4 linked regions of the Styela clava genome follow. The protein of the gene in region 3 purifies or fractionates together with the protein of the main gene of each other region. This does not show direct contact. Links are inferred from orthologs where the notes say so. Each region holds a gene or a part of one and is shown on either strand. Other genes may lie near its edges. The genes, in order: uncharacterized protein LOC120343293, U5 small nuclear ribonucleoprotein 200 kDa helicase-like, uncharacterized protein LOC120345481 and ATP-dependent RNA helicase A protein-like.

What was found.
Region 1: the proteins of uncharacterized protein LOC120345481 (region 3) and uncharacterized protein LOC120343293 purify together in Homo sapiens (affinity purification with mass spectrometry; 3 studies listed by BioGRID and IntAct, with this or other methods). This does not show direct contact. The link is inferred for Styela clava from reciprocal best matches to the Homo sapiens genes FUS and HNRNPUL1.
Region 2: the proteins of uncharacterized protein LOC120345481 (region 3) and U5 small nuclear ribonucleoprotein 200 kDa helicase-like purify together in Homo sapiens (affinity purification with mass spectrometry; 3 studies listed by BioGRID and IntAct, with this or other methods). This does not show direct contact. The link is inferred for Styela clava from reciprocal best matches to the Homo sapiens genes FUS and SNRNP200.
Region 4: the proteins of uncharacterized protein LOC120345481 (region 3) and ATP-dependent RNA helicase A protein-like purify together in Homo sapiens (affinity purification with mass spectrometry; 4 studies listed by BioGRID and IntAct, with this or other methods). This does not show direct contact. The link is inferred for Styela clava from reciprocal best matches to the Homo sapiens genes FUS and DHX9.

Annotation. Positions count from the first base shown.
Region 1 is NC_135250.1:6,302,260-6,310,526, reverse strand, and holds the start of uncharacterized protein LOC120343293, read right to left. Parts: upstream 3,128-8,267; 5' UTR 3,094-3,127; coding exon 2,964-3,093; intron 2,877-2,963; coding exon 2,779-2,876; intron 2,542-2,778; coding exon 2,266-2,541; intron 1,502-2,265; coding exon 1,408-1,501; intron 1,320-1,407; coding exon 1,185-1,319; intron 881-1,184; coding exon 818-880; intron 1-817.
Region 2 is NC_135263.1:8,545,110-8,552,974, forward strand, and holds the start of U5 small nuclear ribonucleoprotein 200 kDa helicase-like, read right to left. Parts: upstream 3,135-7,865; 5' UTR 3,095-3,134; coding exon 1-3,094. Other genes in the region: DNA topoisomerase I, mitochondrial-like, read right to left, coding at 6,914-7,016, 7,181-7,251, 7,417-7,590, 7,683-7,810. UniProt on the Homo sapiens protein: Catalyzes the ATP-dependent unwinding of U4/U6 RNA duplices, an essential step in the assembly of a catalytically active spliceosome. Plays a role in pre-mRNA splicing as a core component of precatalytic, catalytic and postcatalytic spliceosomal complexes.
Region 3 is NC_135250.1:20,547,282-20,554,584, reverse strand, and holds the start of uncharacterized protein LOC120345481, read right to left. Parts: upstream 3,166-7,303; 5' UTR 3,027-3,165; coding exon 3,008-3,026; intron 2,138-3,007; coding exon 2,022-2,137; intron 1,786-2,021; coding exon 1,659-1,785; intron 1,232-1,658; coding exon 870-1,231; intron 802-869; coding exon 681-801; intron 540-680; coding exon 423-539; intron 254-422; coding exon 76-253; intron 1-75. Other genes in the region: salivary peroxidase/catechol oxidase-like, read right to left, coding at 6,786-7,303. UniProt on the Homo sapiens protein: DNA/RNA-binding protein that plays a role in various cellular processes such as transcription regulation, RNA splicing, RNA transport, DNA repair and damage response. Binds to ssRNA containing the consensus sequence 5'-AGGUAA-3'.
Region 4 is NC_135252.1:13,018,373-13,026,163, forward strand, and holds the start of ATP-dependent RNA helicase A protein-like, read right to left. Parts: upstream 3,197-7,791; 5' UTR 2,817-3,196; intron 1,972-2,816; 5' UTR 1,060-1,971; coding exon 949-1,059; intron 577-948; coding exon 436-576; intron 1-435. UniProt on the Homo sapiens protein: Multifunctional ATP-dependent nucleic acid helicase that unwinds DNA and RNA in a 3' to 5' direction and that plays important roles in many processes, such as DNA replication, transcriptional activation, post-transcriptional RNA regulation, mRNA translation and RNA-mediated gene silencing.

The sequences.
Region 1 (8,267 bases), about 14 Mb from region 3:
TCCCGCTGCGATATAAAAACGTCGCACAACAAGAAAATGATTCCATAAACCTTGGCGTTGCGCGCAAACCAATAACAAAAGCTAGTATGATAAGGTCTTATTTTGAAGGTCATTTTATATGCTACATAACATAGGAGAGTGGACATCTCACAACGTCAGGAAGTTATAAAAATATCGAGTCGTTTGATCGCAGCTGCCTCACCGAAAAAAAGTTAGGCGTTTTATCTCGCAAATTCTCCTTGTGTGACGATTATAAGCTTTTATGATTCATAATAAATGTTTTATTATGACTCACAAAAGCTTTCAACGCGATAAAGCACAAACAAACAACCGATCGATCTATCAAGCTTAGCCTGGCCTGATTCGATGTGGTGACTTCTCAAACGGAAAATTTCCAAAACGTTTGAACAACGCGCGCTATGGAAAAGCGTTTAGTATCATATGAAAGAGAAAACCAATGTGCAGTCAACTGTAGAGTCACATTTCAGCTTTACAATAGCGATAGACGACCAACAGCTGATCGAATGAGAGAGTGTAAATATTTTTGTTATTTTTTGACGTTACGAGAGACCTCTTGAAAGAGGTGTTTTAGTTTACGGTCCTCCAGTGACATCTAGCGTATAGTACTCTAAAATACCTTTCCAATGGTATATAATTATTGTATATTGGGTAAATTTTGGGGGTCGTATGACATTAATAAAAATGTATTCAAAATTGGGCTCGATTGAGCGTCTGAAACAGGTTAACTTAATAATGAAAATTAACGTTTTAATGACAAATCTTAAGAAAAAAAATATTTGAGTATTTGTCAAATTACCTTTACTTTCTTGTTTTTCATCACCATTTTCTTCTGCTTGTTTCTCATCTGTTTTTTCACCAGCTGTATTGAAAAAAAGCAAAAATTCAAGTTATAGTAAAAAAAATTGACACATCAATGAAATATTTCACAGAAAAATTTTTTTGAGGGAGCGTGAAGCTGATTAAAAATATTTGTTAGACTGGATTTTGAAGGCCTTATTTGTGTTTAAAACATTTCATTTATTTTATTATTTACAACAAATTCTAATTCTTGACAAATTCTAAAAAGGGAGCGCGGCTTGAAAAGTTCGAAAACCATCGATCCACAGTATTGTATGCTTTTTTCCAGTAATTCCCCATAATTCTAAATTATATTTCAATCTTACTTTCACCAGATTCTTCAGTTTTCGTTTCTGCACTCTCACTCTTCTTTTCTGCATCTTCCACATTTTCAGACATTTCCACATCTTGCACATCTCGTGGAGTTGAGAACTCTTCTTGCTCAATTTTTGGAGCTTGTTCTATGTTAATAATTCAATAAATGCATCATGAATATGAATTTTATAAATTTTATCGAAAAATAGTTTTACAAAATTCTCAATAGTTCACCTTCTTCTTGTTTTACGTCTGCAGTTTGATCTGTAGCTGCAGCATCGTCACTAACTTCTTCTGCGGGTTTCTGTTCTTCTTGTTCTTCAGTCTGCTATATACGAACAATAAATGAAAACAGTCAGTATAACAGGACGTTATAAGCATAGCGTATCACGCCAAACTATTCAATCCTAAATTAGATGATTCGAATTGGGTCATAAAAAAATTCGAATATATAATTAATAATGAAAGAAACTATGTCAACTGGACAAATGTAGCCTTTTTCTACAAACAGGTAATTTTAATGATATCGAGTAGATTCCGAATTCAATTTTATATCAGAGACTAGGACCGGCATGCTCAATAACATTGGATATAATTGTCATCCAAGTAAGAAAAGTTTTTAATTTTCATACTGAGAACCTAATTTTTACAATAGAGCAGAAGATCCTATTTAAGAATAAAAAGTGTTTTGTTTATCTTTTTAATAATGAAAAAACAATACATTGAACCAACGTATCATTGACATTATTCGAATATTTGGTTTTCTATTGATGACTGCAGTAGCACTATGAACAAGGTTCTGGACGAGCAGTCACTGCTAGGCAAGAGCTATTATATTTTTGAATGACTGGAACTTGCCCAATTTGCCATTGCCTACTTAATTTCTTACACCCTGGGTTAAGCGCAGGCATGAGATTTCAACAGAGATTTATAACTTACCATGCCAACATACTCAAGTCTAACGCTTTACCCAGAAGGTCCACTGGATTGAAACAAAATATAAAAGGGGACACAAAGTTGAAATATGAAAAGAGACACAGAGGGTTTACAAATACATTCAACAGTGACTAACTTTGAAAAATTTATACTAACAGCAGGTTCTGCAACTGGCTCCGCAGTTTCCATTTCTTGTTTTGATTCCGTTTCGGCTTCCTCAGGCTGAGGAGGTTCTTCGATCTGTTGTTCAATTTCTTTTTTCTCCTCTTCTTGAGGTTCCTGTTGTTCAACTGGCGTCGGTTCAGCAACATCCTCTGTTGGTTCCTGCACTTGTTCTGTTTCATCGTTTGCTGTACAAAAAGATTCAAACTCTTCTCCGCCTGCTTCCTCTTGATTCGGTTCACTCACTTCTGGAGGTGGCTCTTCCGCAGGCTGCAAAATGAGCCAAAAATTTGCATTTTCTCTCAATATTATAAAGAGCAACTGATAATGAATCCAGATTGCCTAGCAAATAACCAATGTTTTAAATTAGGCCGATCGAGGTTGAATTGTTAAATGTTACCATAATGTTGTGTCGAACTACTGACAAAAAAATATTATGATAAAAAATATTATTATAACTGATTGTGGATAAAAAATAACTTTAAAACTATATATATTATAACATACTTCATCCTCTAATATTGAATCTCCCCCTTCAACTTCACTCTGTGCAGAATCGTCTGGCGCTTCTGACGATGAAAATTCTCTTTCTTGTCCTGTTTCGCCTTCGACAAAAAAAGAAAATAACGATTTACTTTTATATATATTATATGATAATACAAAATATGATTCAATACAAATCGTATACTCACTTTCAACTGCAGAAAGAAGCAAAGCTACAAGATCAGCCTTTTTCATATTTTTTGTGACAGAGATGCTACGACTCTCCAATTCCTTTTTCAACTCTGCTACTTTCATCCTTTTTGGATTTATTGAAGACATCTTGCTATTTTTAAGTTCAGATGTAATTTATTCTAAACTGTGAAAAGAAATTTATATACTTTCAAGTTGCATAATTTATCATTTCTTTTGGTTGTTCTTGTTTGATATATAGATTTTGACATGGCGGAATTTTCGTTTGACAAATATTTGTTTAAAATCAACGGGAAAGATCATTAACCAGTAAACATTAAAACCAGAGAAGTTTCAAAATGTATCGTATATTGAAACTTTGAGAAAATGGTAGAAATGGTGTTTTCTCTATGAATGCCAGAAACACGAACCAGAAACAGAACTACGAAACACTTCAATTCAATGATTGTAGGATTGTCATATTCTGCGGTCTTTACTATGATTGCGCTTTAACATCAAAAAAATGGAGTGAAAAAAGATAAATAGATAGAAAAGTGTTTAGGTGTCTTAAATTTTTAGATTTACAATGAGGAATGCCAGAATACTGGAATACACTTGAATGTACACATTAATATTGCACACACACCTACAGACCTATGTTTATTTTAAATGTTTTAAGTCATAATAGTCTACTACCGGTACATTCGGACATTAATTGAAGCTTTAATTCAGTAATTCCAGGATTTAGTGTTTTTGCGTTCCTCTATCGGGTCTCCCTAAAACCAGGCACTTGCGAATTCAGGCACTTTTTCAGGCACCATTTCAGGCACTTTGATATTTTTTATTTTTACCGTCGTCATTGGGATTTCCAATTTACCTGACAAGATAATTAGACTTTAAACAATTTTTTGCATCCCTATATTGCAATAAAACAATATTATTTTCAATTTATTAGGGTATAAATAATTTTCGAATAGTAAAATGTGGCAACATTAATTACAAAATATAGAAATCAGGCACTTGTGAAATTTCAGGCACTTGGTCAAAACCTATTTTACAATGTATCTGATTACTCTAAAACAGAAAATTAAATATATACACTTTGTATGGTTGAATTTGCAACACTTTGGTAAAATACAATACCGTTTGTGACTGATGGAGACGTGTCATATTTCGCAAGTGCCTGATTTTTCATTTTTCTCGGTGACAATTGCCATATTTTTTCGCAATTATTTCCTTGAATTATTTGCGTCAGCACTTGCTATTCTTTGCTTTCTAACGCAAATTCATTGTTTCACAACAATTTGAGCGTTTTTAATATTGCAATGAGCAATACCATTTGACAACATATGGTCAACCATCGTACTTTCTGGATTTATTTGAAATTGAATATGAATAATAAAATCTGGCAACCTCAAGCACAAAATACTAAAACCAGGCACTCGTGAAATTTCAGGCACTTCGTAAAAACCTATTCCTCGATGTTTTTACTTACTTTGAAGCAGAAAACTAAAATATACACTCTTTTGTATAATTGAAATGACGTCTTTTTGGTAAAAAACAAGAACGATTAGGACTGGTCATGAGGGGTCAAATTTCGCAAGTGCCTGATTTTTCATTTTTTTCGATAACAGTTGCCATATATTTTCGCAACAATTTTTCTAGATTATTTGCGTCAGCACTTACTATTCTTTGCTTTCTAACGCAAATTCATTGTTCCACAACAATTTGAGCGTTTTTAATATTGCAATGAGCAATACCATTTGACAACATATGGTCAACCATCGTACTTTCTGGATTTATTTGAAATTGAATATGAATTATAAAATCTGGCAACCTCAAGCACAAAATACTAAAACCAGGCACTTGTGAAATTTCAGGCACTTCGTAAAAACCTATTTCTCGATGTTTATATTTACTTTGAAGCAGAAAACTAAAATATACACTCTTTTGTATGATTGAAATGACGTCTTTTTTGGTAAAAAAGAAAAACGATTGGGACTTGTGATGAGGGGTCAAATTTCGCAAGTGCCTGAATTTTCCTTTTTTCCGATTACAGTTGCCATATATTTTTGCAATACTTTTCATAAAATCTTTTTCGTCAGAACTTACTAATCATTGCTTTTTAAAGGAAATTCCTAGTTATACAACAATTTCAGCGTTTTTAATAATGCAATGAGCAATATCATTTGACAACATATAGATAACCATCGTTCTTTTTGGATTTATTTGAAATTGAATAGGAATGATAAAATCTGGCAACCGCAAGCACAAAATACTAAAATCAGGCACTTGTGAAATTTCAGGCACTTTGTGAAAAACCATTTCCCAATGTTTTTGATTACTTTAAAGCCGAAAATCCAAATATACATATTTTGTATGACTGAATTTGGTATTTTTATTGTTCAAAACAAGAAGAACTGTCACTGGTAGGAATGTGGCAAATTTAGCAAGTGCCTGATTTTTTGGTTTTGTCAATGGTAGTTGCCATATCTCTACAATTTTTTTCTTTTTTTTTATATGTTGTTTCCCTATTGCATTATTTTATAAAAGTCAATGTTTGTATGAGAGCTTCACTTAGCATAAATGGAATTAAACTTTTAACATCAGTATCTACATCCGGAAATCGGTATTTAATTAAACCAATCACGCTTTTGCAAAACTATTTGAATATTGTAAAGTTTGAATGACATTGTGTTGTTTATTTTTATTAATTGAAAAGTATGACATATGTATTATTTAAATACGGGTTTAAATTTGACAGATCTGTAAAGAATATTAGTTATTCAGACTACATCTTTATAGTAATGTTCGGAACCCTTGAAATTGGTTCAAAACTTCTTCTAATTTGTTATAAACATTTCGACGTAATATATTACCCAGGTAGCAACAATCGCATTGTTATAAAGAACCTAATTCGTCTTCTGGCAATATTAGTTCAAAATTCCAGTTTTAATTATTGTTATCGGACGACGATTTTAATAATGTAATTTGGCCTATGACTTCATATAAACTACATAACAGAAACAATTGACTTATGTCGTATAGAATTTTTTATAAAACGTATCCAAGTCACATTATCCCCTAATAGAACATAATTTACCGTTCACAAAATGTATAAAAGCCTGTGCAAAATCTATATTGACAACCAGCGGTGTTCAACCACGGCTACAATAAAGATATTCAATCACTTGCTGTTGCTGTTGTATAATATTCTTTACAACCTGAAGATCTGACTGTAATATCTTTTCATGGATAGTTTACGTAGAATTATTTGTACATTATTTCATGCTGTAACAGCTAACTGTAAAACACGTAGTTCCTAAATAAGAAGAATGGCTACAGGATGGTAAATACGAGATGGCAATGTCACCTAAACAAAATTCGCTCCGCGAATGACATCAGGTAGCTGATATGCCCAAAGTTAGGCTTAAAAGCATCGTTAAACGAATATTACAATAAAAATCCTTCAATATTCAACACGCCAGTAGTCAGTCAACAAATGTTTTTGCGTTATTCAAAAAGTTACAAATATATAAAAACGTAAAACAGTAATTGTTTTTAATGTCACAGAAGCCGTATTAAACTCTCGATTATAGATTTTTCTTCATCAGTAATTGGGGATATAAATTTGAATTTAAATTTATTAAGGAGATAAAACATTAAAAACACAACTTCACAAGGGAAGTGTATGAGTGAACACTAATCGAAGCTTTCAGTTTGAAAATTATTAGAAATATTGAGTATCCAATGAAAATCCTTACTATTTTTTCAATTTTGACATGATATGATTTACGTATCTTGCAATTAGGTAAAACCACAGATCTAAGAATTGAAAATTCTAAATGTCAGTTCTGAAATTAAACATGAAAAGGTTTTGTGTATATTTTTCTACTTTTATATGTCGGGCGTATAGTTTCTTCATGTCGCGAATGAGCATCAGAATAGGTTGTGCAGAAAATGGTGCTCCCGTAGTATGTGCACAAAGTTGGCACACAACCCGAACATAGTATCTTGGAGCACATAGGCTACTACGGGAGCGCCCTGAAAATACCCACATTGGCAACACCGACTTACCGAATACAAATTTTACACTTCCACAATTTCGCTTTCGATACTTTCTCACATGTATAATGATACCAACGCTTGCAAACGAAGCATTGATATTGTACGTGCTCCCGTATACATTTCGCACTTTAACAGACACTCCAATTATTATTTTCCAGAAAGCAAAATTCATGCATCGGAATGTCAGAGTATATGAGTGGCGACGATGCAGTGCGACAACGTTCCAAATGTGATTGAATTTTTGTTGACTCCGACTTGTTCAATATTCCATCTGGGCGTTTTGAAGAGGTATGTACTCACTTCAAATATAATTACTTGCACCACCTTCGGGCAGACGTCGAATTGAAATTAGCGATAAGAATAGCACTCAATATACATCGGATTGTCTAAAAAACATTTTACCGAGAAAGCAAAGTATAGTAAGTACTAAGTTCTGACGAAAATGATTTTATGAAATATATTGCAAAAATATATGGCAACTGTAATCGAAAAAAATGAAAAATCAGGCACTTGCGAAATTTGACCCCTCATCACAAGTCCCAATCGTTTTTCTTTTTTACCAAAAAAGACGTCATTTCAATCATACAAAAGAGTGTATATTTTAGTTTTCTGCTTCAAAGTAAGTATAAACATCGAGAAATAGGTTTTTACGAAGTGCCTGAAATTTCACGAGTGCCTGGTTTTAGTATTTTGTGCTTGAGGTTGCCAGATTTTATTATTCATATTCAATTTTCAAATAAATCCAGAAAGTACGATGATTGATCATATGTTGTCAAATGGTATTGCTCATTGCAATATTAAAAATGCTCAAATTGTTGTCGAACAATGAATTTGCGTTAGAAAGCAAAGAATAGTAAGTGCTGACGCAAATAATCTAGAAAAATTGTTGCGAAAATATATGGCAACGGTTGTCGGAAAAAATGAAAAATCAGGCACTTGCGAAATTTGACCCCTGATGACCAGTCCCAATCGTTCTTGTTTTTTACCAAAAAGACGTCATTTCAATCATACAAAAGAGTGTATATTCTAGTTTTCTGCTTCAAAGTAAGTAAAAACACCGAGAAATAGGTTTTTACGAAGTGCCTGAAATTTCACAAGTGCCTGGTTTTAGTATTTTGTGCTTGAGGTTGCCAGATTTTATTATTCATATTCAATTTTCAAATAAATCCAGAAAGTACGATGGTTGATCATATGTTGTCAAATGGTATTGCTCATTGCAATATTAAAAATGCTCAAATTGTTGTCGAACAATGAAT
Region 2 (7,865 bases), on a different chromosome or scaffold from region 3:
TGTATTTGAACTCAGAAGAAAGTGAAAAAACTCGAAACAATTCAATCTCACTCAGAGTAGGTTTCAGTAGTTGGTTGTATGTTGCCATGCTCTCATGGGTGCAGTAATAATGACTAGCAATCCGGCCCAAATCTGTCACTTGCAAGTGCCCAGTTTTTCTATCATATTTGACTAAATTGCTTTTATCTAATATGTTTGCAGCAGAATGAATCAAGTCAACACGATGTTGTTGTAAAAGAGGATCAGCCTTTAGTGCATCATGACTTATGGAGTATAAAGTAGGCTGTCGAAGCATTCTAATGTACAGGTAACTGTACCCAAGCCAGTTCACAGCATCTCTGACATTCTGAACATTACCCAGCACAATTTCAGCATTCAGCATATCTGGCAGTTTGGCAACCATTTGACTTTCTACAGGCAATTGTTGATTCAAAAGCGACAAGTAATATTGCAATTCACTATGGGATGTAATAAGAACACCTTCACCCTTGGTGTCATATTGTGGCCTACCAGCTCGTCCCATCATCTGAAGTACATCAAGTGCACCCAATTCAACCCATCTACCTTTTTCTGGACTGTACACTTGTGTGCCTTTGATGATGACAGTATGAGCAGGTAAGTTGACACCCCAAGCAAGTGTGGCTGTTGAAACAAGTACCTGAATATGACGATCAGCAAATAAATCTTCAACCAATGTTCTGTCAACTCTTGACATTCCAGCATGATGGATTGCGAAACCGTATGGCAGAAGATCTTTCAATTCTAAATTCTTTACTTGCTCAGATTCTGTTCGTAAAACTTCTGTGGAAGCGGATCCTTCTCTCAAAAAATGTCCTAGAGTGTCATTTTCCAAGCACATATCTCTAACAGCACGAGCAGTTTTTCCAGTTTCTTTTCGTGAATGAACAAAAATCAGAACTTGATTTTTACCTGCATTTTCAACAACTTTTTCATAAACAATTTCATTCATAACCTGAAACCTCTTGATTGCTTTCTTTTCTGTTATGCCAATGTATTGCTGTTCTAAAGGACATGGTCTAAAACTGTTGTCAAAGAAGAACAACCCTTTGGAGGGATCAACACGCAAGAATGTGGCAACATCTTCATAATTTGGTAAAGTAGCAGAAAGTCCAACAAGTCTGACATCCTCTTGAGTTGTTTCGATGGATCTAATTGTCCTTGCAACAACAGACTCCAGGACAGGACCACGATCATCATGAAGCATGTGGATCTCGTCAATAATCAACAGACGTACCAGCTGTGTGTATGTTCGTTCACCACCTTTTCTTGTCACAATATCCCATTTTTCCGGTGTGCAGACAATAATTTGTGTGGCATTGATTTCTTCTTTGCAAAGCTGATGATCACCTGTCATTTCACTGACTTTGATGCCATAAGCGGCAAGCCGTTTTCCGAAATTTCCAACCATTTCTTGTACCAGTGATCTCATTGGAGCGATGTATATTATTTTAAAATCATTAACATTAATCGTTCCATCAGAATTGATGTGCTTGCCAATTTCTCTCAACATAGTCAAGAGTGCAACATTTGTTTTTCCAGCACCAGTGGGGGCACACAGCAAAATATTCTCATCACTTTCTAGTGTAGTCTTGGAAAGTCTACTCTGAATCCTGTTCAAACTTTTAAACCCTTCAAAAGCCGCTTGGGCATACTTGGGTAAAGTATCAATTGGAACAAGTTTTTCATCATCAGCAAAAACTTTTGGTTTTAAAGCAGGTACATGCACTTCTTCGTAACCTTTACGTTGTTTGCGATAAGAACCATCTGGTAACTGGCATTTTTTATTTGCCATCAAGTGAGATCCTTGTTCAAACATGATATCTTCAAGATCAACCCCTTTGCTTGGCTGTAAAGTTTCATCTGTCTGGTCAGTTTCCATTGCTTCTAGATCAGCATCAACTTTGCTTCTGCGTAATCTTTCTCTGCGTTCTTGTTCTTCTTTAATGATATCTTCTTTCTCAGTTTCGTTCAGTTGCTGGAGAATCACTGACAATTCTTGATCGTTCTTCATTCTATCTTCAATTTGTTTTTTTGCAGCTTCACTTTGTGCACTCGCAAGTAAAGTGCAATATAGAATCATTTGTCGATGTTCACGCAAAATTTTGATAAAATCAAACTGATTGAAACCGAGCAACATTACCAATTGATTTTCACATTGTAAATCATCAACCGCAGTCTTTAAAATTTCCAAGACTTCTTCTGCCTTTTTTTGCGAAACGATTGCATCATCATAAACTTTGCTCAAATTTCTTTGCAGCCAATAAGCATCAACATCGCGAGGATGTAGTCCACGATTCTTAATGATATTGACATTTCCGGCTTCGTTGGTAAGATTAGCAGAAACAACCATATTCGCATCTGCCTCTACGCCACCTTCTTCATCATCATCTTCATTTTCAGATTCCTCCTGAACTTCACCATACCTGTTTTCTTGGTCTTCTTCTTCATCATCCGATTCAAACTGGACGTTGACACCATATGTTTCATCAATGTTATCATCTGCGGTTTCAGCATCCTTATCTGTGCCGAAGTCGGTAATCTTTTTGCCCAAATTTACCAAAACATGATAGCGAGTATCTTCTTGAACTCCCAACAGTGATTGAACTTCTTTTCGTCTTTCCTTATCACGCAGTTTATCATTCTTAAGAACAATTATCACTTCGTCAGCTGCGCCACAAAGAATGTCTCTTGGTTGGTCACCCAATGCAGCCTGGATAAAGCTGAGTAAAATCTCGTACGTTTCTCTAGTTTCTTTTGTTTTTGGTTTATATAATATATTAACCATCTCATCCATTCCCTCAGATAACAGAGTTGCTCCTTTCAATTTCACAGAAGATTTTTGATCCTCGTCACGCTTGTATCGCTTTGCTCGACGCTCTTCCATCTGTGGTGGTCTTGTACGCTGCGCTCTATCACCCATTTTTGATCCAGTTAATTTTCCCTGCAATGAGATGACTTCTCCTGTCGGCTCATCTCTTGGTCGTCTATCAATGAGTGATCTGTCTGCTTGCAATACAAGATTAGAATTGGCTTTGTATTCATATTGCAGTGAACGGGCGGAGGCATCCGCCATGCTGTTTTTTTATTGACAGCGATTCCTCTACAGATTTAATATATCTGTGGTAAAACATAAATAATAACATGTGAAAACGGTTGATGCAGTTTTTCTAAACAAATTCAACTAGCAAAGCATATTGTATGTATTGCCCCACTCATAACCTCCGTCTAATAGTAATTTATGTGATTCTGCACAACAGTCTTAGGGTGGTGCAGCCAGTCTGCAGACAATTTCATTCAAACCGCTATAAAACAAAAACCAATATTTCTAACCCGTTAATTTTTTCACCGTAGGTGCATTGGCATTTATTCTACACGACACTCTGAAGACGTATTTGGGACCGAACGACCAGTTTGTGATCACGGATTTCAAGCCTTGAACATCGTTTCTGCTGCGTCGAGACTAGGGCAAACGCAGCCATGCGTGGAAAAATGGGCTTCTAATTGCATTTCTGACCGTCATATATTTTAAGAACACGGTTATTTCAAACAAAATTCTTCAAATTATAAACAAAGCACCGCATCACAGCAATCAAACAGACAAAAACACGGTGGTCGCAAATTAGTTGACAAAGATATTATTGACATATTGGAAATGCGCACCCCCCTACTTTGAAGATAGAAACGCGAAACTTTAGAGATGGTTAAAAGAAACACAACTCTACCCACCTGCCAAGTTTCATCTCTTTATCTCTTATATTTGTATGGATTTTCAAGCTTTTTTGAAGGAACAATGGGTAGTTGGCGACATGGTAAAATGGTCCGTTTTTTTTTTTCGGTCGTAACTTTTTTATTTGTGGCCGCATTTTAGTGTAATTTCGCAGAGCTACGAGGGATAAGTGGACGATAACGCGTGAGAAATATCAGCGCGGTTCGTTATTTTTTACGGCATTAATTTAATCGATGAAGTTGATGGTCGCAGATAGGTCATGGCCGCTAAGTGGGTAAGCCACCCTATACTCTACTGATCTATGAGAGTGATGCTCGAAAATATGACAGGGAGAATTAACAACTTTCCTTGGGTACAGATTTTTGCAAGCTTTTAAACAGTTTGAATGTTCATTTTACAATATTTAATAAACTTTGTTCAACTAATATGTCACTAACAAATTTTTCATTTGCTTAATCTTTCAATTACCCTTCAGCACAGGAAAATCTGTAAATCGCTATTGATATAAAAGGGCATTCGAGTCTATACTTGTTTGAAATATGGTTTAATCTTATAGCATAACCAGGCCTTTCATTCCAGCATCCGGTCACCAGCCCATGCCGTGTATGGGATTACAGGATTAGTCAGCCAGTTATTTCTTTAAGTTGCATGATGGTGGCGGGATCCATGCCTAACCGACGTCCCCAACAAAATTGGAACTTGTGAATTCTGGAATTACCCCTGCTTGGGGTAATACAGTACCGCTACGAACCTAATCAGCGTATTCCTAACCCTTATGCCTTAGCATGATGACTTACACTTCCGAGGCGGCGCATATTACTGTATTATTTATATCTGTGACTGTACCGTAGATATACTGAAGATGAACAAATGCCTGTGTCATGAAATCTCAAGTGCATTTCTCAGTTTCTAGTAAATCACAGTGCTCCATGGCATTACATGAAGACGTGAACATGAAATAGACTAAACTTTTCATTGAATCACTGACACGAACTAAAGTGTCGAAATTATTTCCAATTTTTGACAAAGAGGAATTTTCGTGTGTTTGCAATGTTCTAACCAAAACCTGAAAACGCTAAATTACCGTTTTTTATTTTTTGCTAGCGCACACACACCAAAACCAAATTCTGCAACAAGTCTTGATGTTTTATATAATCTATATCGATAAAGCCTTGGTTAGCCATGTGATAAAGACGTCTCTCCCAATACTGCAATACCGCAAAAAATCTCATAATTATACCTATAACAATAACGCGTGTGGGGATCAGAAACTTTCAAAAACTGAGAACGCACGACAAACGTCGGCATGATGTGCGCGGAGTCAAGGAAATCACACCTAATTGCCGGATAATGATAACGACAATTTAGGTGTAACAGACTCAATGTGAGAACCACCTTCACACTGAAACTTTACATATATGCATCGAGCTGATACAAAAAAGTTACCACAGTGTCCAATGAGATAATAAAAACTAAAACAATGCAGAGAAAATGCACAGACCCGAAAACAATGGAAGAGTCCACGCGCGGTATCATCGTCACTTTGTATTTTGTGAGTAGAAGTTTATTTCAACTCCATAATCAGCATAACTGGTAATAAAATTATTGATAAAACAAATAAATAAAAACTGTTTATCTAAAAATCCTTGTTCCTACTTAAAAGAGGCTGATTCAAACAAGTATAGGATTTGAACCTAAACCAAGCCAGCTTCATGAATATATAACATGGGCACAGGCTAAAATTGCTGTCACAAGCCAAGTGACCACCGTAGTATTTGTACCTGAAACTATGGCCCAACCCCTAACCTGGTACACAAACTACATTCTGGTGTCCGCCATCTCGGTACGCATCCTTCAGAAGTGCCAAATTTTGAACTGAACATCACGAGGCTACCCAGAACTAAAGCTGGTTTCAGGGATGCAGTTTTAACAGAATCGTAACTTGCTTATAAAGCTTAACATTCATGTTTGTATGAGCTCTGCTTCACTATGGTTTCCCCATGGTTTACTAAGAAAAACAACAAGCATGCTTTACAAATACTTCCTTGTGCATTTAATAAAACAATCAAAAATATTAGCAGTTAATCGGTCACATACAAATTTCATACTATAGAACCGGCAATCAATATAAAGTTTGTATACAACGGAAATGGTAGTGAAAAAATTCAATTTGTGACAAAAATCCTATTCAGTGGAATAAAAACTTTCGAAGATATAGATGTAATGACATCTAACAAGGGGACTTCCACAAAGTAAAAATATGTTTCTATGGAGCTTCCAGTTGGTATAAGCATGTCCAAAATGAAATAAGAACACTTAAAAAATGCAGAGATAAATACCTTGTTACCTACCTCACAAAAAAGGAATTTAAACTATCGAACTATGTAACATAAAATTAGAGTTCCATAAAAATTCAAAATCTATCACAATCGACCAGCAGTCAGTCGATTATGGTTTGATATAGATCAATTCATTTCAGGAACAAACGAAAGATTTTAAAACCTAAAAATTCTTCATAAGCTCCATCACTGAATCAGACTCCGTATTTATGTTATTATATGATTCGAGATGAAACTTAGTGAAGAAAATGTAAGCGGACACCATAAAGCAGCAAATATAGAAAATTGCCTAGAAGAAGATATGTACAAAACTTTCATTATCATTATAAGAACCGCGAAATCCTAAGAAAGCAGTAGTATTGCCAGAGCCTTTATTGGCCTCACATTAATAGGCAAATGATTTGTACCAAGACCATAAGAAATGAAGTTGGCAAATATATTGACAGTTACAAAATCGATATTTTTAATGATTGGCCATAGACTGAACTATCCCTCACAATAAAGGCTCCAGACCCTCATGGGTTAAAAAAGCTATGGTTATAAAAGAAAATAGTTCACAAGGCCATATATAAACACAAATACTGATCCAATTATTAACCTGTGTATCGTTGATATTGCTTCTTATAAATGCTGAGACTGATGAAGCGATAAACTAGTACGAATTACTGTAATACAGAGCGCCAGCAATCCCTGAACTGTTGAAACATACCACTAAACAGGGCGATGATATTAAAACTGGAAAATCCCGGACGAATAAATTTAGCAAACCATAACAAAATAAATCAAGGAAGTAATTAGTAAAAAATAAAGAGTTGAGATAATAGCTTTAAAAAACATATGTTTCATCCACCATTGCTATTGCCCAAGCAAATTTGTCACGTTGAGTTTTATTGTAGACTTTCTCAATTGGAACATCCCACTTCTTGCACCTTGAAACAAATATAATAAGTTTAATAGAAATTAGTGTTGTATTTAAGGTTACCAAGGTAAAGAATTAAATTAAATAATGATAGCCCAGATAACCAAAAAAGTTAACACAAATTTCACCGAGTAAAGTGGCATAAAAAGAACAGAATAAAGATTTTGAACATACCAAGCAACACTGATTCGTGGATCTAAGTAATTGAGCTTAGATGTTCCAAGAGCAATCTCCTTATTTTCTTCCTGAAATTACAAAATAACCGATACATGAAATTACACTGCAATATAAAAAATACAAATCGAATATTAATGATTATGTTGAACAATTGATATTGCTGAAAATGTATATTGTTCACTATGATATTGTGTCGATGCTATCTTAATATAGCACAAAATGTGCAAACATACTCTGTCAGTAGCTTGTACTTCCAATTTGATTAATTGTTCCTGCAGTCTTTCAACCTTTTTCTTTTTAGTTTCATATTTTTTCTTGTTGCTTTCTGTTTTATGGTGCTTGAAGTCTGATTTTGCGCTTTTTACTTCCTGTTTGGCATCTGCTATATCGTCTTGTTTCTTTTGTATCTGTAAAGACAGCGATATAAATTTAGCATTTTTATCTGATATGTCACGATTGACGATTTGAGACAAAATATTAATATAGAGCACAACTATACCCTCTCTCTTGCTCTTTGCATCTGTTCACTAAAATTTTTGGGAGCAGCACGTTGATGGTTACAAAGAATAGCTACAGCTCTGTTGCTTCTGTTGTATGAAAGCATACGCCCAGCCAACGTATCATCAGCTGAAGATGAAGATATTAGGAAGGTTATTAATTTTACTGCACATTTGCATCAATA
Region 3 (7,303 bases):
TATTTTGTAACACACATATTTTGTAACATTGGTATTATGTGAAATAGGTCATTTCAAACAAATAACAATACGTACCGTGATTCATTTCCATAATCTGAAGAACGCGAGCCACCTCGACCACCATATCCACTGCTATCTCTGTCACGATCACCACCACCTCTACCACGACCACCACCATCTCTTCCACCACCTTGATCAAATCTGCTTCCTCGTCCACCCCCCCTACTGTCATATCCTCTACCACCTCCGCCACCTGAAATAGCCAATCATTTACAGGTCAGTAACATAAATTCACCTCAGCGAAAAATTTAAAAAACACAGACAGTGATTGAATTATATTCCTACTTGAGCAGGAAAATATTTTTTAAATGATATTGCTAATTTCACACTCTAACCATCAAACAGATGGCTAAGTTACTCACCAGAACCATACCCTCTATCTTGATAACCCTGGTTCTTATTTCCATATTGCCCCATGGGCCCCTGTTGACTTTGATTATAGTTATTGGGACCCTGGTCTCCACCGTAGTTTCCACCACCTAGCATGCCATAAGAATAAGTAAGTTAGAAATGGGAATATTAATTTATAATTATTTAAACTTATGTATCAAGCAATATAAATTAATCATATATATATATATATATATTGTTTGAAACTAAACGAGTATAGTCCAGCTTACCAGACTGATCATTTCTGTAGCCGCCTCCTCCCCCACCACCTTGCTGACCATAAGACTGTGAACCTCCCCCGGAACCACTGTCCCGTTGGCCGTATGATTGATTTCTGCTACCTCCGCCAGACTGCAAGAAAACAAACATTATAAAAACAGTTCATTTTCAAATTCACCCAAAACAAAATTTCAATTCACCTGGCCGTAGCTCCCACTGCCACCTGAATTTCCACCGGATCCATACGATTGCTGAGACTGCTGTTGTCCACCACGATGACCTCCCCCATATCCTCCTTGCTGCTGTCCACCATAGCCACCTTGCTGCTGACCACCATAACCACTTTGTTGTGGTCCACCATAACCACCTTGCTGTCCACTGTAACCACTCTGTTGTTGCTGACCACCATAGCCACCACCTTGCTGTTGTCCAGATTGCTGTCCACTGGCTCCACCTTGTTGGTAGCCGCTATTGTTTTTCTGACCACCATAACTAGTACTACCACCAGCAGAAGCAGCAGCAGCAGGTGCAGCTCCAGTCTGCTGTTGTCCATAACCCTGGCCTGGAAAATTGATATGTAGTACAGGATATGACCAATCAAATACATACGATTTAACCAGGGCTGAGTTAAGGGGGATTTAAACGAGATTATCAAATCTGAGCTATTTCAAAAATGACTGCTGTACCATGCGTCCGATTCCTGATTAATAAAAATTTGGCATATGATATCGGATTGAAGCAATTTCAACTCAGAATTCCAGCTACGAAAGATAATTTGTTGATGTATTCAAGCCTTATTTCATTTTATATCAAGACTTGGAAAACGCCCAATAAACCCAATACATTTTAGTTTCCATCTGTGATTTTGACTCCAAGCAAATGTTTGGAAGTCAGACTTCTATTTCTATTAGGACTCCGACTTTATATCAATAAAAGCATGTCAAACTCTGACTCACTGTCTCAGTCATAATTATATTGCTACCACATACCTCCAGATTGGTTGTTCGATCCATAGCTGCCATAACCACCCTGTTGCTGATAGCTTGAACCATATCCTTGGGCACTAGTCACTCCGCCTGCGCCTCCGCTTTGTTGCCCACCAGCTGATCCATAGCCCTGAACAAAAAATAAAATTTTTTAACATTTTGTAGGGACCAATGATTATGCAAAACGGGGATTGCCAGAAGCAACGATGGTTCACTATTGATTGAATATCGTAATAAATAAAACTCTTTTCTAAATTCAGGTATAAATATTATTATAGGCTAATGTATTTAACATTATTATAATTTTGATGTCTTACTAACGTAAATTCAATCTTAAAATTTTAAAACTGTTCAAATACAATTTACCTGCTGACCATAACCTTGAGTGCCACCCCCGCTTTGAGAGTAATTAGATTGTCCATATCCCTGTCCACCAGATGCACCATAAGATGGCTGTCCATATCCACCGGAGGATCCATATTCTGGAAAGTACAAATTACAAATTTAATTTCAAACTTGATTATTTGAATATTTTTAAAGCCTACTGTCAGTGCAAATATGTTTGGATTCTTTTAAACTCAAATGACTGAATGATGATGATATTGATAATGATGCTCATTACAACCGTAGGATTTTCAGTGCAGCCCTTTCAAGATTATTTTGGATTAAATGTCGTCTTATAACTTTGGACCAACTATTTTACTGTCACTTTGTCATTATCTGATATAGAAAAATAACAAAAAAAATGAAAAAAGTGGATCAAAATTTAGGCTGAAATACAGTGAATAATTTGTCATGACACCTATAATATGCGAAGGACGATTGATAACGATATTGTTCCGAAAGCCTTTTTTTCCCCACATTGTATATCTGTATATAGTCACCCGATAAATATTATCTAGCACTGTAGCATGCATGTGGCCGGTCCTATTATCAAATTGACAGATTTAAATTCGTGCATAAATTACTCTAAAATCTGAAAATGCCAATTTGACGGCCCTAATTTAAATTGCTTTCGATAAATTCATTTAACAGGACTCACTTGCAACGATGATTGTTTTTATTTATCGCTGGTTATGTTATTCATATTTACCTAGTAATGCTTGGAAAAAAAATATTGCGGTTTTGAGTCAATATGGAGGCCCAGACTGTCTCGTAAAGGAGGATTTGCAATCACTCTTATAATTGATGTCTTTTGATGTCGGGGTTATAGCCTACCTACAGTCAGACAGTCCAGCAGTCTGAGTGAACGGAGCGCTTAGTTACTAGATTATTATTTCATAAAAACTGCTTAAAAATAAAGACAGTTTCCAAATGTTGAATAAGAAAATGACATAAAATAATTCACTTACGAGAATTAGAAGACGCCATAAATAAGTAAATCCTGTTCCACAAATAAGCTTGAAGAGTCGACCAAGGACAGACGGATAAATCGTCTGAAAGCAGAAAAGCGGGAAAGCGAAAGAAATCAGCGACGACAGTACGACACGCTTATTCGTTGAATTGACGTTGCCAGTTTTTTTCTATTTGATTACCGTCATTTATTTACTAAGAAAGTCAAGATCTATCAAATTCGACCGTAAAGTAAAACCACAGTGTTTATTGTCTAAAATACAGTTTTAGCAAGTGCAAGAATGTGTTTCTTCTAATATAGAGTCTTTAGATAATTGTTCATCTTCACTTGTGCGTGTGTGTGTTGTCAACTCGAATGTCTCCTTTGCCACTGCAAATTTCCAAAATAATATTATAGTACAAACCATTGTTTCAATTAAAATGTAGTTGAAAACTATTATATTTTTTGTGCCGGTGTTTAGCGAATACCGTTCAATTGGCTGACAGAAAGGAGTACAATAGATGACAAGTCGAAAAAAACTTTCATGAAAAATCTGGCAAAGCAAAAGGATTTAGTCACGTGAGTAATGACAAATTTTAATTTTTACAAGTAAAGCGAGAAAATCGATAGCGTCGGGTTACATCGACGCTCGCCCATCGACCGGTTCGGTTATCGACTGTACCGACAAAAGTAACTCGTACTCGTAACAGAACTAATATAAGGAAAATTGGAATAAAATTGTGGCCCAACCCTAACCTGGTACACATTCTACGTTCCGGTGTCCGCCACCTTGGTACGCATACTTCAGGACTCTAATTACCGCACCTCTAATTACTCTGCGTGGGTTCGCAGGTTCGAATCCCATGCAGGGATGGTTATGTGCGAGAGGATTGCTGGACTCCTCGCCGTCGTTGGGTGGTTCACGTAACCGCTGGTCGGTTACGGCTTCCTCTATCACCAAGTCCATGCTTCCGAAAACAAACAATACAGTTATACATATGTATAAGCCGTCTTATCGGCTTTCCTCTCCCCCGGGATAAATATGTAAATCCTATCCTACTTCCCTTTAATTTTTATTTGATAACGGGAAAAAAATGATGACAAGAATTATCAACCCATTAATATTCAAATCAAAAAATATTCAAACCGGTAAAATTTTTAAACAAGCCTGCAAAATTGCATGTCGAGGCACCTAGGCTTCAGCCTACCTTGCATAATGATGAATCCGGCACTGGATACTGTTGGGAAATAGGATAGGATAGGATTTACATATTTATCCCGGGGGAGAGGAAAGCCGATAAGACGGCTTATCCATATGGCGAACCACGGCCTCTCGTCCGGTTACCATTCCAAGTCGGGTATGGGATTAGTTTTTTACTGTATTGTTTGTTTTTTTCGGAAGCATGGACTTGGTGGTGGAGGAAGCCGTAACCGACCAGCGGTTACGTGAACCACCCAACGATGGCGAGGAGTCCAGCAATCCTCTCGCACATAACCATCCCTGCATGGGGTTCGAACCTGCGAACCCACGCAGAGTAATTAGAGGTGCGGTGGCGAGCGTATTCCTAACGCTTAGCCCGTTGAGCCACACCACCGCGCCGATAGTTGGTGATTGATAGATTCACCCAAATATTTCATTGACGATCAAATTATTTCGGTTTGCTTAAAATGTCTCAAAATTCTCACGATTCTGGAAAAATCCATTAAAGATACAGTATTGACAATAAATATATATATCTAGGGCATGAGCTAACATTAAGATTAATCATCCGTGTTCTGAGAGACACAGGGTTTGAATACATCATTTTACATAAGGATATGAATAAACATAAATTCGGAGAAATTTCAAAAAATACGTCGTGGTACTATTTGAAAAAGAAAAAATTATTCATGAAGATTATATGAAGTGATAGCACGACGCATTGGGGTTTCTGCAAAATCGAATACCTCAGCCCTTTGTGTATATTTTCCTTACCATTTACAGCTTTTGATAAACCGCAACCATCATGGGTTGTACATATGGTTTTGCTCAATGTTATTCGACTAATCCAGATGTGTACACATATGATCCAGTGATATCCCTACACCCCCTATAGGGGGTGAACACCCCCCCTAAAATTTCAAACACCCCCCCCCCCTAATTTTGAGGTGCGATTCCACGCTGTTATTCCGTAATTCCTAACTCAATTATAATTGTATTTAAATATAACGACTATGGCATATTTATCAGTGTAGATGGGGGGGCGGTGTTATACAGAATCAGAATTACCATTACAAATTATATATATATATATATATATTCGAAAATAAAATATTCGAAACTTACATCCCTGAAAATTTTTTCAGTGCAACTTAGGCCTAAGTAGCATTGAATGGCATCAGTCTCTCCATCAAATTTGATTATTCTTGGATGCAGAATATGCCTAAATCCTCTATGACAGCGGTTCCCAAACGGTGCGCCGCGCCGAGTTGCTAAGTTCGCCGCGAAAAATAACAGAATTGTGTTTAAAAACAACTAAAATATGATTGAATATTTCACAAATTGTATTTATTATCAATTTTTTATTGTTTCATATTTTAAATGCTGTGTATATGAATCAATAAATTCATTCCACGTTTCTATGTCGTTTACTTTCTGTTAGGTAGGGTCTGCCTGTATTGTTACATAACAATGCAGAGAGACACTCTTTGCTGCAGTTTATTTATCTGTTGGACCGGGTTTAGCGAACATGAGTGATTAGTTTACAATTTTATAGGAAAATCAGGCAGAGATGAGGAAGAATAGTTGACCTTTTGCCTTTGTTCTATAGGCCTAAATGTTTACAAACTTTGAAAGGCATATAATAAAATTGAGTTTCATTTAAATGCAGCCTTTTTTTTCGTACAAGTGCGCCGTGAGTGTGTAATTCCTTGCTATTTTACTTTTTCTCTGACAGTTTTGAATTGCTAGTTCAGTACCAAATATGAACCCATACGTAACTCGTCAGTGGTGATTTATTTCTAAAATATAGTATAATAATAAGTATTTCCTACTTTCGTTTCTAACATTTTTGATAACAGGTAAATCTGAAGTACTTTCAGCTTGCCTTCAAATTTTTGATTTATCATAATATAGAGTGAATAGGTAAGTACATTTTTTTTTGTTGTTTCGCTGTCGCAAAATATTATATTCCATATGAAGCTATTATGAGATAATACACCATATATTTTTTTAAAATATACTCTGTAAAATAGTCAATGTCCAACTTTTTAAATTTCGCACAAGCAAATTCCCGCGTACTCGCAAATAGGACTTTATACAAATGACATCTGTTTACTGAAGCTTGTAAATTTTGTTATTATGTTTTCTTACTCTGAAATATATTTTTATGAATGATAGAAATCATTCGAAACCTGAGCTAATCCTTTCTAGAAACCAAGGATGAATATTGCGGAACGCTAGTTCAATATTATCTTGGATTTTATCTGCATTCTTCTATCACTGAGATTGTTTATCCCATGTTGCATTTGAAGCACTCATTTAAAAAATTGAATAAATAGTAAAAACATTTTGCTAATGGCGTTTAATTATAAGACATAAACTGAGAAATCACTCAGATACATGCAATTTTATTAAAAATACAATAAAAAATTATTTTTATATATACATTGCGACACAGGGTGTCTCGGATAATAACAATCAACCGCTTTTTTGGTGTTATTTCTAGTGATTTGTTTGAGTTGGCAATAAAAGCATGATTGTCTAATGTAGCAAAATTCAGTTGCCTCAATATTTCAGTGGTTATCACCTATATATGTTATACATCACAACATTGTCTGTATTCCTTGCACATATACTGGGCAGATAGAAGTACCGACGATGGAACGACGTTTTTAACGTGTTTACTCCGGACATTATCACAACATATCCCAAATAGTTCGCAGAAGGCAGACTTTGTGTGCAATACAGATAAAGGCACACCCATTTTATTTGGGTCTAGAGCATTTTCTTTCTTTAACGACTTGAAGGAAGAATCCATCGATCCATAATTCTTTTGTACCCGTTGGCATAAGCCTCTGACCTTGTAATTATTGCATTTTCCATTCAATTGGTGCTTATCTTTGCATGTAAATCCGGCATTTGGCCCAAAATGCTCGAACACATCTCCAGTTTCGCTGGCAAACTTGTTCCCAAATTGTGTCTTTGCCTGTATAGCGACGAGGTTCTCACACCCAAAATTATTACTTTCCACGGTTTGGCTGTAAATCCATTGCGTCCAGTAGTATTTGTCTGAAAGTTCATGTGGAAAGTCGGTGAGTCCAATTGTGCCAGGAT
Region 4 (7,791 bases), on a different chromosome or scaffold from region 3:
AAATTAGTTTATTCCTATCAAACTACAAATGGTTAATTTAACCAATTTAATTTTAAATAAATTTTTATTTTTGTACAACATGTACAGATTCGGCTTGAAGGTCCATGCCTACCTGTATCTTGGCACCAACAGTGGATATGATCCAATAGCAACTCTTAAATATTCCAGTAGTCGTGTCATGTTATCATTACATGTACAAGTAGTCCCCATCATATTTTCATGTGAAGTTATTTTTTCATGGCAATTTTTTAAAGAAATTAGCATTTTGTCATTTTTTTTAAACAAGTTCAAGATTTAGGTTCCAGCTAGTGACAAAAGATACTACTGTATAAATTTCAAATCTCGAATGGATATAATACAGGACAAAACATATAAGAGAAAAAACAAAATATCCTTGAATGATAATCATGTATTTATATAGATATAAATACGAACCGATTTTGGGGGTACTTCAGAAGGCTTCATTTTTCCAGCTCGAACAAGATAATTAACAAAATCCCAGGCAGCGTTTGCTTGGGCATCCTTCTTATTTGTTGAGTTTCCTATTCCAGCATAAGGTATTGTATCAACTCTGAGCTAAAAATAATAATAATAGTTGAACATAAATTAAGTTTGATACCTAAAGAATTATAAACTTTACTATATTTTCATATTATATGTCTAAAATAGTCAAATCCAATCAGTGAAGCAATTTACATATTACAGAAATGAAAAAAACACTCGAATATTCAAAGCAACTCAAGACTGCATGTCATTGGCAATATAAATAGTTTTTCCTTATTACCAAATTGGCTTTGTTAAAGTTAAATCATCATTAATGGAGCAAAATTTATCCCAATCCACTCATGTGGCAAATAATAAGTTTATTCATTTCACCACAAATGTAGTAAATGGCTTGACAGTTGACACTTCAGTTGAAAAATGCAATGAACGATATTCTCTGCTTACCTCACATTTAAATCTTGGTTTATACTTGTTGCCACCAGCTTGAACATCATAAACTGGAGTTAGCTTTTGTTTTCCAAGCCATGAATATACAAATGTCTTGACTTCAGTCATAATGAAAAAATGTCATACTACAGAGAGACCTTACGATATTCAACTAATAATATTAAAAGGTATTGACAAGATACTTGCAATATAGTTTTTATTTAGAAGAAACCTAGCTTTACATTTCAAAACCAATAAACACATTAAACTTCAATTTCAATTCGGAAAAATCAAGTAGCATCACCAAATTTGCATTAGAAACTTAATGAGATGTTACCTCACTAGGAACATTCGGACAATAGGTTTGGAGTGCATAATAAACGACAGTTAATGAAAGGTACAAAAATTGAAGACTTTTGCATAATGTTAGAATAGAAAAAATAAAAACAAGCATCAGCTTTATAAAACATATAATATACATTAATATATAGGTTTTTTAAGAAAGAATTGCCGAGTCTAAAATCATTTTATATAAAATTTGTGTCAGAAATGTAAGTTTTTTAAATAAATACTAGTTGATATTATACTCATACAACAATCTTATGTTCTAAAATTAAAATCAAATAAACATTAGAGATTAAGTATACGACAATCAAAATATTTAAAGTACCAAAGATCTCAAGCCAATTTTTTCCGTAAACAGTATTAAGGTAGGTATCCTGACCTGTACATTATAGATACTAATCTCCCTCAAAATAAATAGGAAGGTTTTTATTATCCTGATCTTTCGATAACTGTTTCAAGTCATTAGCTAATACAACAGGTAATCCATCAAAGAGTTGATCAACTTTCGAGTCAAATGTAGCAATAGAGGTATATTCACAATTTACCACCAAGTAACGGTGCAAGTAGTTCAAGCATATTTGCCTTAAATTCAAAAGAGGATTCACAATTTCAACGGAATGAAATCTTTGATGTTCTCCACTCCATTCAACAGGAAAGTAGATTTTCTCAAAGTTAGGAAGGAAAGTGAGTGGATGTCTGAAGAAAAAAAAAACATATACTCTTGAGTGGAGAGTGAATGCAGGAATATGAATAAATTTCTCAAGCAAAGAAGGAGATTAAATAATATTTAATCCTACTACAATACTAGACTATATTCAAAGAAATTAGTCTAATCAGAATTCAAATCAAAAATGTAGTTTTAACATTCAGATCGTCGAGAGTACCGTTCTTTCAGCAAAACTGATATTTTCACAATGGAAATCCAATTTGAAAATGAAGATAAAATTGAGAAATTGAAATATTTTGCCATAATCTCTCATCTGGCTGTGAGTTAAATGCAGAAAAGTGGTTCGTAAATTTAGAAATTACCGTAGGTTATACAATGATACAGTTCATGCATAATGTAGGTAATTGCTGAATTACCGTAACCATAATTAAAAATGAAGGTAAAAATACCGGCTAACAGATTAATGCCTGAAATCAATAATCGCAAATAATGTTTTCTAACATACTGACATACCGGTATATAGTAGGGTCATGAAGAATAATTAAATGCTAAACATGGAATAGAGTCATAGACTACAACTAACCCAACGCTGCAATGTACCACAAGACATTTCTGCATTTAGGTAGACTAGACACTGCTGTACAGCAGTACAGAGATGGGTTAAGTACGGTACCTTGAAACCTCACAAAATCTATTATTGCAGTATTGCATTACCAATCCATGCATCATCTTTCAGTCTCTGTATTAACAATTGCTAGATTGCAGATTATTCTTGCCACATTCTATGACAAGAATTTTACGAATTTAATGCATATTTTCCGAAATTACTCCAGTACCGGTACCGTACTCTCCACTCTGAACATCCATACCGTACCTGCAAATACTCTCATAAAAAACCCAAGGATGTGTCTTGAAAGTATCCATCAATATATAATCTCTTGGTTCTAATCTGTCTTTATACACAACATGATTTCCCTGAAAGTTGAGCCATTCAACAGAAACGTTCCTATCAGTTTTGTTAACAAATTTTGCAAAAGCAGGGTTTTGAGAATGTTGAGATCGTTGGCGTTGCTGCAACGGGAAATCGGACATAATGCATGAATTGACGACGAGGCACTTACAATAAAATCTAAATACTGAAATATACCGATACATACAGTTTAGTTCAACTCAACCGTCAACTTAATTCAGAAAATTAAACGCTGGCGAAGACAGCAGTATGAAAAATGTATTCGCAGCCATTCCAGAAATAGAAAGGACTAAAACCTACTAAGGCCTACTTGGACGTAGAACTGTAGAATGTGGTTAAAACAGGGAAGTCTTTCAAGTTAAAACATGGTTCCAAAAATGGTAAAGGTTTCTCGAATCACCAAATTGCTGGCTTGGCCTACACATTTATATGCAGGTTTTAAGTTGAAGCTGAAGGCGCCGGCTATGAGAATTGCGAGATTTTCAAATATACAAAATATGATAACCGATATCCATTTACTTATAAATATCAGTTATTTTTTTCCGATGCATGATAATGGACTTTGTTCGGCTAAAATTTGTGACCTCCGCCAGAGTCACTTTCAAAAAGTTCGTTCGTAGTTCCACCAGATTCGTCATGTCTTATTCAAGCGCTGCACAATACAATTTATTTACGCATTAGGATTGCTGTGGACATGGAGAAAACGGGAATAAAACTACGCTCCGTAACTACAGTGTACCACTCATACTGCGCATTGGTCAAATCTCGCGTTTATAACTATAATTCGACGACTCCATATTTGTTCACAGAAAATAACAAACTCGGGCACTATTCTGCAAGCCCTGCTCACGTACTGAAAATTATAAAGTCAAGTACTGTACAGTCCGGCATCATTCTCACGCCGAGCTTAACCCATTATTAGAACATGCCTAGGTTTAAATTACCAGTAGCACTATATCATTTGAAAAGTTTGCCTTAAATATCACTGATTTTTAGATAATCTTAAGACCTCCAATTTAACGTTGGGAAAGGAGAAATAGAGTAACATACTTAAACCATAACATAATCAAAGAATTATGATTGCTATTTTATAACCATACGCCTATCAAAATGCAACAATGTTTGTTGCCATTTTTTAAATTCGCATCAACATGGAGTATACCATAAAAAACACATGATATCGCCGGGCCAAGGGATCGTCCGAGTAATTACTTACCTCTTCTTCGACCGTTTTCTAATTTGATCACAGTTAATTAATAATGTGATATCGCTAATCAGTTTGAGCGGGAATGTGCGCTTCGCTTTTCTCAACCATTCACTGGAGTTAGTAATGACGAACGGTTTGTCTGTTCTGTAGGAGCTTTTCAACGTACCGTAGTCTTTAATTTTTTTTGGCGCAACATTACAACATTAAGGTAAGCAGATGTTTTTTGATAAAAAATATATATATATACTAAGTCGCTGGTACAATTCTGCTACTTTTGGTATTATGTTTTATAAATAGCGAATTATAAAACTTGAGGGGTTCCGGCAAATCAAGATTTCAAGTGTCGATAATCGCGAGATAAACAACATAATCAAAAAGGTTGAAGCAAGGAACTTCCGAGATAAAAGAACAATCTTTTATGAAATCCAATTTAAACCTAAACCAAAGTTTGATTCCCCGGTGAGACAATTTTTTTATATATATTTAGATGGGCATACAAAGTTGTACGGACTAATCAAGTGGGACTTGGTTACCCGAATAAGTTAGACTTTTTTCATTTTGCACAATGTTTCTTGTTTTATACACATTTGTAATTTGGTAATCTGTTGCATTCATAATGTGGGTCGATAGCAGTATATAAGTTCCATTCCCATACGCTCAATTGCAACCAATGTTTTAAAATGTCTTTTCGTTGTTCCTGGTACTACTATGAATATCACGTTAGCAACACCCGTTTCATATAGCGTCCAATTATTAGAGTAAATTAGTGTAAATTTCATTGTACAAAATTGAAGGTCTATGCGAATCCTTTTATATAAAACGTATTACATATATATTTTAATAAATAAAAATTGTGTGAATATATTTATTTATCAAGTATTTATATTTACCGGTAGATATACTGCATGGTTTGACAATTGTGTGGATCATTGTTGTACAAAGAAATATCGACTATAGACTGGGGAATTTACGTTTGCAAACATGCGACGATAGTCGTTACACAGGGGTAAATATTACACGCTTATGTTATATAATAGATAATCTACAGCAGGGGTGTCAAACTCGTGGGTTTGAAGGCCGCATTGCATTTTGGGAATTGTGCAAAGGGCCGCAAACAGATTTGATATATTTTGATAATGTATACTTGAAGCATATTTTAAATAGGTGTAGTTTGTGACATATACTGTGATGCAATTAAACAGTCAAATGAAGTTTTGTTATTTTCTTAAATTTTAAATACCATTTACATATTAATTTTTGCATTTCACTATTTTTGCAATTTACTGTATTTATTACAAAAATTTTATTTTATGTATAACTATCCAAAATATTTTTGAACAAAGTTTTGATAAGGAAAGAATAATACATACACTAAAAATGACTTAATCTAAATATATAGATCTAAAATTTACAATATTGCTACAGAATGAACTCAATGTTTTTTATTGAACATGTCCTGACTTTTGACATCTCTTTTGTGCCACCAGCTTACTAATATCAGGCTGAAATGATTTTACAGTATCAACTCTGATTAACGAGGTCACATGATCATCGGTTAATCTGGATCGTTGAGAATATTTGATTAATTTCATTAATGCAAAAATATTACGTTCATCATTCCATGTATAGATCAGTAAACAAACAAATTTTAGAACCAAACTTTTCCCGCCACTACCTTCACGTGGCATAGGACCGGTTGAGTTATGATTGATATTGATATTTAGTAACTAAGTATGGTATAATCATAATAGTATACAAACACATAAATATTTTCTGTTCGTAGTTGATCTTTAAAATTGTCATATTGACTGCTGAGCTTATTCTGATGATGTCTACTCATATTGTATTCTTTCATTTTACTGATAGAAACGTGAAAAATTGATCAATGCGCTTTAGAATTTTGAGAAATGCAGAAATATTGCAACTCCCCTTTTATTTAAAATTGCCACTTTTTTCATGTACTTTGTGTTTCATTTAATTCCCGTAGTGTTTTTTTTACAAGTATTCTTTTGCTAGCTTGAGGTGTATCCATACATAATTGTGTCAAATTGAAAACAAAAACATTCAATTTTCCAATGTTATAATTGTCGTTTTCTGTGTGAATAAGCAGTTTCACTTTAGGGTTTGAAAAATGTATTACATTTAGGTAACAAAATATATATTACATTTATTGTTAGGCGTTCGAGGGCCGCATTGGAAATTCTCTGGGGCCGCATGCGGCCCGCGGGCCGCAAGTTTGACACCCCTGATCTACAGCTTATCTGGCCATTGAAATAGCATATAATCTCTGGTCGGAGCCTTAGAGATAACCCGCCAAAACACTTTGAACTAGCAATATTTACCTTGTAAAAAACTTTTTATTTTATTTTAAATAGACTCCATAAATCGAATATAATTTAAGTTTATGTTCACCACCAATCAATAAACGATAATATCGGTCGGAGACCGAAGACTTATCGATCGAAACTGCGGTTTCGATTCATGGCTCTATAGTGACACCGCGTGTCTCATCACTAATTAATTAATAATTCGCTAATTATACGACATAATTTATAAAATGTTTTTCTACTTTAATTTCAAATTTGAAAAAGCGGGCCGAGATGATTCTTCAATGGCTTGTTGTGAAAACATTCTTGACGTGTTTATTTTTCAAGAATTCAATACATATAAGTAATAATTTTATCAATGCATTGCAACAGTACATTGAATTTGCTTACCCAATTGACTGGATCACTGAGACTATAGTAGGCTTTAAAATATTGTTATACTATTTTCAAAATTAATAACAGCAGGTGTTATTGATTTTATCCTTTCTATTACAGTTTTTTTTTCATTTCCAAGTAAATGAAAACTAAGGCTAACTAAAAGCTTGTTATCGGTCGTGCTCGTTGGTTGTGTCAATTTACAATAGAAAATCTATCAGGATAGTGTATTGTTTTTTGTATATTTTGTTTCAATGACACAGCTCATTTTGCTACATTTACGAATTTTCAGAATAAACAAATAAATGAAATTGAAACTAATCATATTTTTCTAGAAACAAGACAAATTTAAAAAAGAGAACAAAGCAACAAAGTAAGCGACTATAAGGAACAGTTGTTCTACTAGGCCGATTTGCATGGTAATTATTAATTGAATTATTATATTATTGATCAGTTAAGTTGAGTAAAAAAGTAGACTTTGTCAAATTTCACTTTAAAAATTTTAGAGTTCAACTTTCACTGAACTATAGCGTCTAGAAATAGATTCCCCAATTCAATCTCATTCTGAATAATAATAATACATCTGAACACCTCAGAGATTAAATTAATGATAAATTGAAAAACGAACGTTGCGACTGTGCAAAACAATCCAAATGAATTCATCTGATAAATGCCGATACAGCTGAAACATAAAACAAAGTAACCTTCCATATCTTACAGTTCACTTTCCTTCCTCCATCTTACAGACAGGGTCGGCTATAGACAATACTGCGTGCGATGGATGAAGATCCTGTGACAGCACCTAACCGATTTGGAATAAGTTAGCTGGATGCCAGTAATAATAATATTATGCAGCTTTCAAGTTTTTTTTTATTAATTCCGCTGATTTATGCTTCACACAACTGAGCCTATAAGGAGGTTTAATAGGAGTTTATGTGTGCGTTTACCATGTGAAACTGCGCTGCATTTT